Linked DNA regions of Macaca fascicularis. The protein of the gene in region 1 binds, or shares a complex with, the protein of each later gene. Links are inferred from orthologs where the notes say so. Each region holds a gene or a part of one and is shown on either strand. Other genes may lie near its edges. The genes, in order: ATP2A1 and SLN.

Evidence for each region.
Region 2: the proteins of ATP2A1 (region 1) and SLN are in contact, whole or in part, in a crystal structure (PDB 3W5A), measured with the Oryctolagus cuniculus proteins. The link is inferred for Macaca fascicularis from reciprocal best matches to the Homo sapiens genes ATP2A1 and SLN. Residues at the interface, in XP_069919846.1 of Oryctolagus cuniculus: Phe88, Val89, Leu96, Ala100, Ile103, Val104, Trp107, Arg110, Asn111, Asn114, Arg324, Lys328, Trp794, Leu797, Gly801, Leu802, Thr805, Ala806, Phe809, Trp932, Ser936, Leu939, Leu943, Leu946, Ile947, Val950, Pro952, Leu953, Ile956; in NP_001075856.1 of Oryctolagus cuniculus: Met1, Glu2, Arg3, Ser4, Thr5, Arg6, Glu7, Leu8, Leu10, Asn11, Phe12, Val14, Val15, Thr18, Val19, Leu21, Ile22, Trp23, Leu25, Val26, Tyr29.

What each region holds. Positions count from the first base shown.
Region 1 is NC_088394.1:27,574,034-27,577,847, forward strand, and holds part of ATP2A1 (sarcoplasmic/endoplasmic reticulum calcium ATPase 1), read right to left. Parts: intron 3,668-3,814; coding exon 3,579-3,667; intron 3,320-3,578; coding exon 3,217-3,319; intron 3,003-3,216; coding exon 2,871-3,002; intron 1-2,870. UniProt on the Homo sapiens protein: Key regulator of striated muscle performance by acting as the major Ca(2+) ATPase responsible for the reuptake of cytosolic Ca(2+) into the sarcoplasmic reticulum.
Region 2 is NC_088388.1:106,717,535-106,721,783, reverse strand, and holds the start of SLN (sarcolipin), read left to right. Parts: upstream 1-1,410; 5' UTR 1,411-1,504; intron 1,505-4,249. UniProt on the Homo sapiens protein: Reversibly inhibits the activity of ATP2A1/SERCA1 and ATP2A2/SERCA2 in sarcoplasmic reticulum by decreasing the apparent affinity of the ATPase for Ca(2+). Also inhibits the activity of ATP2A3/SERCA3.

The DNA.
Region 1 (3,814 bases):
CTCCAGCCTGTGTGACAAAGCAAGACTCCGTCTCAAATAAAAGAAAAAAAACTTTCATTGTTTGTTTATTTTTATTTACTTATTTTTTCTTTAGAGACAGGGTCTTGCACTGTCTCCCAGGCTGAAGTACAGTGACGTGATCATGGCCCACTGCAGCCTTGGCTCTGGCAATCCTCCTGCCTCAGCCTCCCAGCCAGCTGAGTAGCTGGGACCACAGGTGTATGCCACCACTCCAGGCTAATTTTAAAAAAGTGTTTTAAAGATAGAGTCTCCCTATGTTGTCCAGCCTGGTTTCACTCCTGGCCTCAAGCAATCCTCTTGCCTTGGCCTCCCAAAGCATTGGGATTACAGGCATGAACCACCACACCTGGCCCTATAACTTTCAGTAACGATAGAAATGTTCTGTGATCTGCACTGTACAATTGGTACAACTGAGCAATTGCTGTGGAGCATTGGAGGTGCTCTGTATATTATTTAATTTGAATTAATTTTTATTTATTTATATTGAGATGGAGTCTTGCTCTGTTGCTCAGGCTGGAGTGCAGTGGCGCAATCCTGCCTTAGCCCCCTGAGTAGCTGGGATTTTAGGCACACGCCACCACGTCCAGCTAATTTTTGTATTTTTTAGTAGTAGACCAACCTGACCAACATGGAGAACCCCCGTCTCTACTAAAAATACAAAATTAGCCGGGCGTGGTGGCACATGCCTGTAATCACAGCTACTCGGGAGGCTGAGGCAGGAGAATCACTTGAACCTGGGAGGCGGAGGTTTCGGTGAGCAGAGATCACACCATTGCACTCCAGCCTGGGCAACAACAGCGAAACTCTGTCTCAAAAAAAAAAAAAAAAAAAAAAATGAAGGCCAGGTGCAGTGGCTCACGCCTGTAATTCCAGCACTTTGGGAGGCTGAGGCAGGAGGATCACGAGGTCAAGAGTTCGAGACCAGCCTGACCAACATGGTGAAACCCCATCTCTACTAAAAATACAAAAACTAATTGGGTGTGGTGGTGCATGCCTGTAATTCTAGCTACTCAGGAGGCTGAGGCAAGAGAATTGCTTGAACCTGGGAGGCGGAAGTTGCAGTGAGCCGAGATCGCTCTACTGCACTTCGGCCTGGGCAAAGGAGAAAGACTCTGTCTCAAAAAAAATAACCTCATCTCTACTAAAATACAAAAAGTTAGCTGGGCGTGGTGGCTTGCATCTGTAATTCCAGCTACTAGGGAGGCTGAGGCGGGAAAATTGCTTGAACCCGGGAGGCGGAGGTTGTGGTGAGCTGAGATCGTGCCACTGTACTCCAGAATGGGGTGACAGAGCAAGACTGTCTCAAAACAGACAAACAAAAAGAATGAAAGCCTTTTTCACCAAATGTATCATGGATACTTCTCCAAAAAACAAAACAAAAATAAAAGGAACAGAAAATCAATAGCCAGGAGAAGTGGTGCATGCCTATAGCTTCATCTACTTGAAAGGCTGAGGCAGGAGGACCACTTGAGGCCAGGAGTTAAAGGCCACAGTGCGCTATGATCGCACCTATGAATAGCCATTGCACTCCAGCCTGGGCGACAGGCCAAGACCCCATCTCAAAAATAAATAAATAAAAATTTATGTTTGCATTATAATTTATAAATTTTTAAAATTAATCCTCTATTGATAGGTATTTAAGTTGCTTTCAGTTTGTTTGTTTATTTTTAAGACAGGGTCTCCCTCTGTTGCCCAGGCTGCAGTGCAGTGGTGCAATCACTGCTCACTATAGCCTTGACCTCCTAGGCTCAAGCAGTCCTCGCACCTTAGCCTTCCTAGTAGCTAGAGGACAGTTTTGTACCACCACACCCAACTAATATTTTTCTATCTTTTTTTTTTTTTGAGACGGAGTCTCACTTTGTTGCCCAGGCTGGAGCGCAGGGGCACAATCTCAGCTCACTGCAAGCTCCGCCTCCCGGGTTCACGCCATTCTCCTGCCTCAGCCTCCCGAGTAGCTGGGACTGCAGGCACCTGACACCATGCCCAGATAATTTTTGTATTTTTAGTAGACACGGGGTTTCACCGTGTTAGCCAGGATGGTCTCAATCTCCTGACCTCGTGATCTGCCCGCCTCGGCCTCCCAAAGTGCTGGGATTACAGGCGTGAGCCACCACGCCTGGCCCTTTTTTTTTTTTTTTATTTGTAGAGATGGGGTCTCACTGTGTTGCCTAGGCCGGTCTTGAACTCCTGGGGTCAAGTGATCCTCCCACCTCAGCCTCCCAGAACGCTGGAACTACAGGCGTGAGTCTCTGTGTCTCACCTGCTTTTTTGTTATATTAAATAAAGTAGCAATGAGCATTTTGTATATACAAAAAAAGAGAGAAACGTGGGGAATATAATTCACCAGAGAGAGGTGCTTAATGGAGACGTTCAGCAAGTATCAATAGCAATAACTGGGAGTGACAGTCCCAGAAGTGGCTGAGTTCATCTGGGCAAGGAAAGGCTTTCCCTGTAGGTGCAGCAGCCACATTTCCTAAATCCTAAGTCAGGACTCATGATCTGCTGAAAGCAAGTGTGCTTCTAGAAACAAAGGGATAACAGATGAAGTTGGGGCTGCTCCTGGATGGGTCCCTTGTAGTTTCCGTGTCCAGCTTTGTCCACTTCAACTCAGGACACAGCAGGCAGAAGTGATCATAGATCCATCAAGGGCATAGCTGCCAGGCAGCACCAGGGACAATGGGTCCCACCCACATCAGCCTGCGGAGAAGCTGTGGGGGGCCGTCCACTGCCTGGGTGGGGTCCCAGCACAGGCACTAGGCTCTACCCAGTCCAACCAGGGCCTCTGCCTTCCTCTGGTCTGTGCAGCATAGAGTGGAGATGGCCCTGTGGCAGGGGCTCTGCAGGCTCACCGAGTTGCAGGCGTTGGCTCTCTCCACCTTCGAGAGGCTTCTCACATCTGTGTTGAATACATTCATCTTCTCCACCAGGGTGGTGAGTGCTGTCTCGGTGGCCTCGCCAACCTTCTCATAGACACCTTTGGCCTGAGATGGGCAGAGGAGGAAGAGGAAGTAGGTGCCCCAGGCTCCCACCTGTCACACCCACCTTCCACCTAGCGTAAGAAGGAAGCAAGCCACTGCCTCCCTTGCACGCTGGCAGAGGACTGGGTGTACTGGGTCCCCTTCCTCCAACCCTTTCCTCCTGGCCTTCAGAGGAGGCTCAGACTCTGAGCCAACTGGAAGGGGAAGGAGAGGTTACCTCGTTGAAGTCCAAGGAGGAGTCATTGCAGAGGGCACAGATGGTGGCCAGCTCCACCAGCCCGTCATACTGCCCTGGCCGGACTGGCTTATCATTCTTCAAGCTGGCAGCAGGGTCGGAGGAGGAAGGGACAGAGACAGTGGAGAAGAACAGGGAATGAGATGCAGAGAGGGCACAGGAAGAGCAGGCAGCCGAGGGTCAGGAAGGACAGTAGGGAGAGCCAACTTGGATATCAGGAGAGAACAAGGTCAGGGAGGAAGGGGAGAGTGAAAGGAAAGCAAAACCACATGGAGGGTCCCAGGGAGAAAGGGGGTGTGGGGAGGGGCGTGAGGAGCTGGGGAGAAGTTGCCTGGGTGACTTACACCTCTCCCTCTGGAGCGTAAGTGGAGCCGGTGATGGAGAACTCATTCAGGAGGCAGATGTCCCCATCCACCTTATCAATGATAAACATCTGCAGGGGAGAAGGGCAGGCACACAGATGTCCACCTCTCCCCATCCCGAGGTGGGCGCCTGCATCAAAGGAGGCCTGTGCTGCCAACACCTACCCTCCCACCCTCCTACTCACCCCTCCCTGTCCCCCACCCCCCATATACCCTAC
Region 2 (4,249 bases), on another chromosome or scaffold:
AAAGAGACAGGTGTGGCTTGGTAACTAGGAAAACATTCCCAGCCTGGCAAACAATCTGGTGAGAGCTTGGAGGCAGAAGGCAGCACTCTGACTACATTCAAGGAGTTTGCCAGATGGCAACAGATAATGCCAATGTTCGATTGCACTATAATTATTATACACTCTCTGTCACTTCAGCAAGCTCTCTTTTCACAAGACAAGTGGGGACAGAATGTTGTATTAAGATTACCCATCGCTAAGCTTATGTTAAAATGAGGAAACGAAATGGAAAGTCTTGTTTTGGTAATGTCTCTGGGGTATGAGGAATGGAATGGACGGAAAGGTTTCACGACGGGCACAACTACGTAGAGAATTTCGTTTGTTTATGCCTTTTGGGAATGCATTATTTTGATTGACCCTAACTGGGAATTCAGAGGGGGAGATTTCCTCTATTATCTATAAAGAAAGGATCTGCTGAGCAAACACAATGGCTAGGGTCATGTTTAAAGTACTCAATTGATCTGCTTTCAAGTCTAATGAAACACTTCAGGGGCTCTAAACATGTGATATGTTGGTTACAAACTCATCTTAGTCTAATTTTAGTCAATGTTTGTGTTAGAAAGTTATATAATACTTGTCTTTCATTCAGATATATTCTATAATTCACATTTTCCACTAATTTTACCCCAGTTCTCCTTCCCCCCCAATCTATCCAAATAACTGAGTTGAACTCTGTGAGTTTACTGCTCTATTAATTTATTGACAGAGATATACAAACCATGACTTCCTCGGCTGTTTCAGATGAAACTGTAGATCCACATGTAAACTTGCAATGCACAGCTTAGCCGGAAAGTTATGTGGAGCAGGTGACTGAGGGGATAGCTTTCACTGCTTGGACTAAAGTCAGTTTTCAAAGAGCTAAAGATGCCTATTGAATTCTGGAGTGTGTGTGTGTGTGTGTGTGTGTGTGTGTGTATGGGTGTGCATGTGTGTGGGTGTAAAGCAGCAAACTCTTCACATTTCAAATAACTAAAGATATGGGTGGTAAAATGAAGTCACATTTTTACACCTCACATGCTGACTAGGGAGAGCAGTCAAATGCAGCATCGACTGGTTAAAATTAGTCTATCATTCTTGGTTTAGGATGTTTTAAAGACATGTTAAAGATATTCGTGAAGATGTAAAAGATACATTTAAAACCCACGTCAATTGCACTAAAAGTCAACTGGAAACAGAAGGTTTTTAAATCCTGGTAGTGGCAAATTGGCAGCCAAAGGAACAGAGTCTTAGTCAACATATTCCCATGTCCCCCTGAACACAAATAGCCTCGAACCTTCGGAGGGTGTTCCTTTGAGATATTTCATCAGTGACATCACAGTGATTGCCAGCTTCCACGGACTACTTTAGGCACTGCCCAGAGTCTAGGAGTCCAGACAGCCTGGGAGGGGAGAAGGAGTTGGAGCTGAAGTTGGAGACAGCGAGGAGAAACCTGCTATAGCCAGGGTGTGTCTCTGATCCTCTTCAGGTAACTGCAGGATTTTTATGCTTAGCATACGGTGTGTGTGTGTGTACAAGCTGCAAATGAGAAAGGCACAGGAATGTTTACATTTCTTAATGAAATAGGCAATGCCCCTTGTATACAGCGTGCCTTAAGGTATAAAGTGAATACTATTGCTTTCTCTTTTCCTTTTCTTTCTCCTAAGGGTATGCATTTTTTCCCTTCCTAGTAAAAAAAAAAAAAAAAATTTTTTTTGGTATTATGGAAGAAGGTCTGTTTGCTATCTTCTCTAAGTCTCCATTCAAAGAAAACCAACGTCAAGCTTCCTGTACAATTTATTCAGAGCTTTTTTGGGTTTTAGTTCATCCACTTGCAATCACTGGATCATATGGCATGACCTTGACTTCAGGGAATGTTTAAAATGAAACCCAAAGTGTCTTTATGGGTTAACAGCAGAAAAATGGAACTTGGCTGATCTGAATTTCTGCCTAACTGGTTCATTCTTCCTAAAGTGTATAAATGTGTGTGAAAGGAATGTTCACACCACACCTTACAGTTAGTATATGTGTTGATTGAATTGAATTCACTAGAAATTCTCAACTTAACTCTTTATGTTTAATTCATCTAAAATCACATAAAACAATAAATACTTAAGGTCACCGTTAAAGTGCAAGAAGTAGTAAGAAGTAAATCCCAAGAAAGAAAGAAGTGTGATGGGTAGCCTGCTAATTCAGAGATGACTGAAAAAAAAAATGTAAAGAGTGCATAAACATATACAGTTTAAACAGTAACTAAAAGGCAACACTTCTATAATTATCATCCAGCTCAAGAAACAGATCATTGCCAGCGCCCAGAAACCCATTCCTGATCAACCCCCATCCTGCCCTTCTGCCTCAGATGTTGGGATCCTCTTGTCCCTGTTATTCTTTATAGTTTGACCATCTATGTGTGCATTCCTAAACAGTATGATTAGCCTCCCTATTTTTGACTTCATATAAATGGAGTCATATTCTATGTTTCTTTTGTAAATTCTTTCACCCAACAGTTATATTTGTGAGATCTACCCATTTTGTGTGTAGCTATAGTTCATACGTTTTCTTTGCTTTATAAAATTCAAATGTATGAATATACCACAATTTATCATCCATTCTGCTGTTGATAAACATTTGAGTTGTTTCCAGCTTGGAGTTATTGTGATAATATTGCTGTGAACCTCTTTGTTTATGTAACCTGGCACACACGTCCTTAAATGTCTTAAGGTAGAAGTGAAATGCTAGATATTAGAGAATGAACATTTTCACCATTAATTCTAAGAAAGCCAAATTGTTTTCCAAAGTGGTAGAAAATTTATGCTAACTTTGTTTAGCCAGGCCAGTTAATTGCAGTGATAATTCAATTATGTCATAACTCCTAGGAAGTGACCACAATTCTAGTAACTAGTTCCAGTCTGCTAATTCTAGCTTTGCCTCTAACTTGTTATCTGTCATTACACAAACATCTTAATCTCCTCTCTCTAAAAGTCAGTTTCTCAGCTGCAATCTTGAGAAAGAGAAAAACTGCAGTAACACTTGCCTGCGTTGTTGTGAAGGTAACACGAACAGAGCTGTGGAACAGCTTTCAATAGTATTTTTCTCATTTTCTGAGTATATCCTGTTGGATCACTATCCATGATTCCTGTGACTTAACAGCTTAATTTAATAGGCAGATTTGGTGGGACCGTTATTTTGCCCTCCTTGAATTGAATTGTTTTGATCATTATAAGCCAGGCTTCATATTTTCTGCATTTCTTGAGAACTTACCCAAATACATGGACATTTGGACTAGGGTTTTATTTCATTGATAAGTCTATAAGAAAGAATCTGTCTTCATTTCTCATTCCTTTGCCTCCAGGCACCTTGGCAAGACTCATTACCTTTCTGTTCTCCTCTGCTCTTTTGTACATTCTCATAAATCCTTTTTCCTTGATCCATTCATTTTCTTCTGTTTACTTTCTCCTCCAAGCAAATCTTTGTAAAGATTTTCTATTTTTTCCCCTTTTTATTTTCTTGGAGAGACAGGGTCTTGCTATGTTATCCAGGCTGCTCTTGAACTCCTAGGCTCAGGTGATCCTCCCACTCATTATTAGACTGCCTGAATAATGTGCAAGCCTCCCAAAGTGCTCATTAGAGGCATGAGCCACCATGCCCAGCCATTTGCGATCGTTTTCATTGGCAATTTACTATTTCCTTCATGCTGAGGTCTAAAAGATGGATAACAATTAAAAGGGAGATGAAACATAAATCTGTCATCATTTGGCTATATATTTGCTGGCTGGCACCATCCGATTTGAACTTGTATTTTTTTTTGAGACAGGGTCTCATTATGTTGCCTAGGCTGGTCTTAAACTCTTAGGCTCAAGGAATCCTCCCACCTCAGCTTCGCAAGTAGCTAGGACTACGGGTACCCACTGCCATGCCTGGCTGAACCTGTATGTTATGCCAGTTACACAATACGAAAAATGATTATTCAGTTGGCATTTATGCAATTAATAATTTGGTCCATTGATAATATAATCAATACAGTAATTACAATTAATAATTCAGTCATGTTAGATAGTTAAAAAAATACCGCTCAGACCAAAAGCTTGCTCACAACCCTTTCAGCCTCTTGAACTCTCACCTTTAGCAAACAAACAAAACACCTTTTCTCCCTAAACTTTCACTCTACAGTAGACTTTGGCCCTAAATATCTAAGATATAAATATCTAATTATTCAAAATACATAAATCTTTAA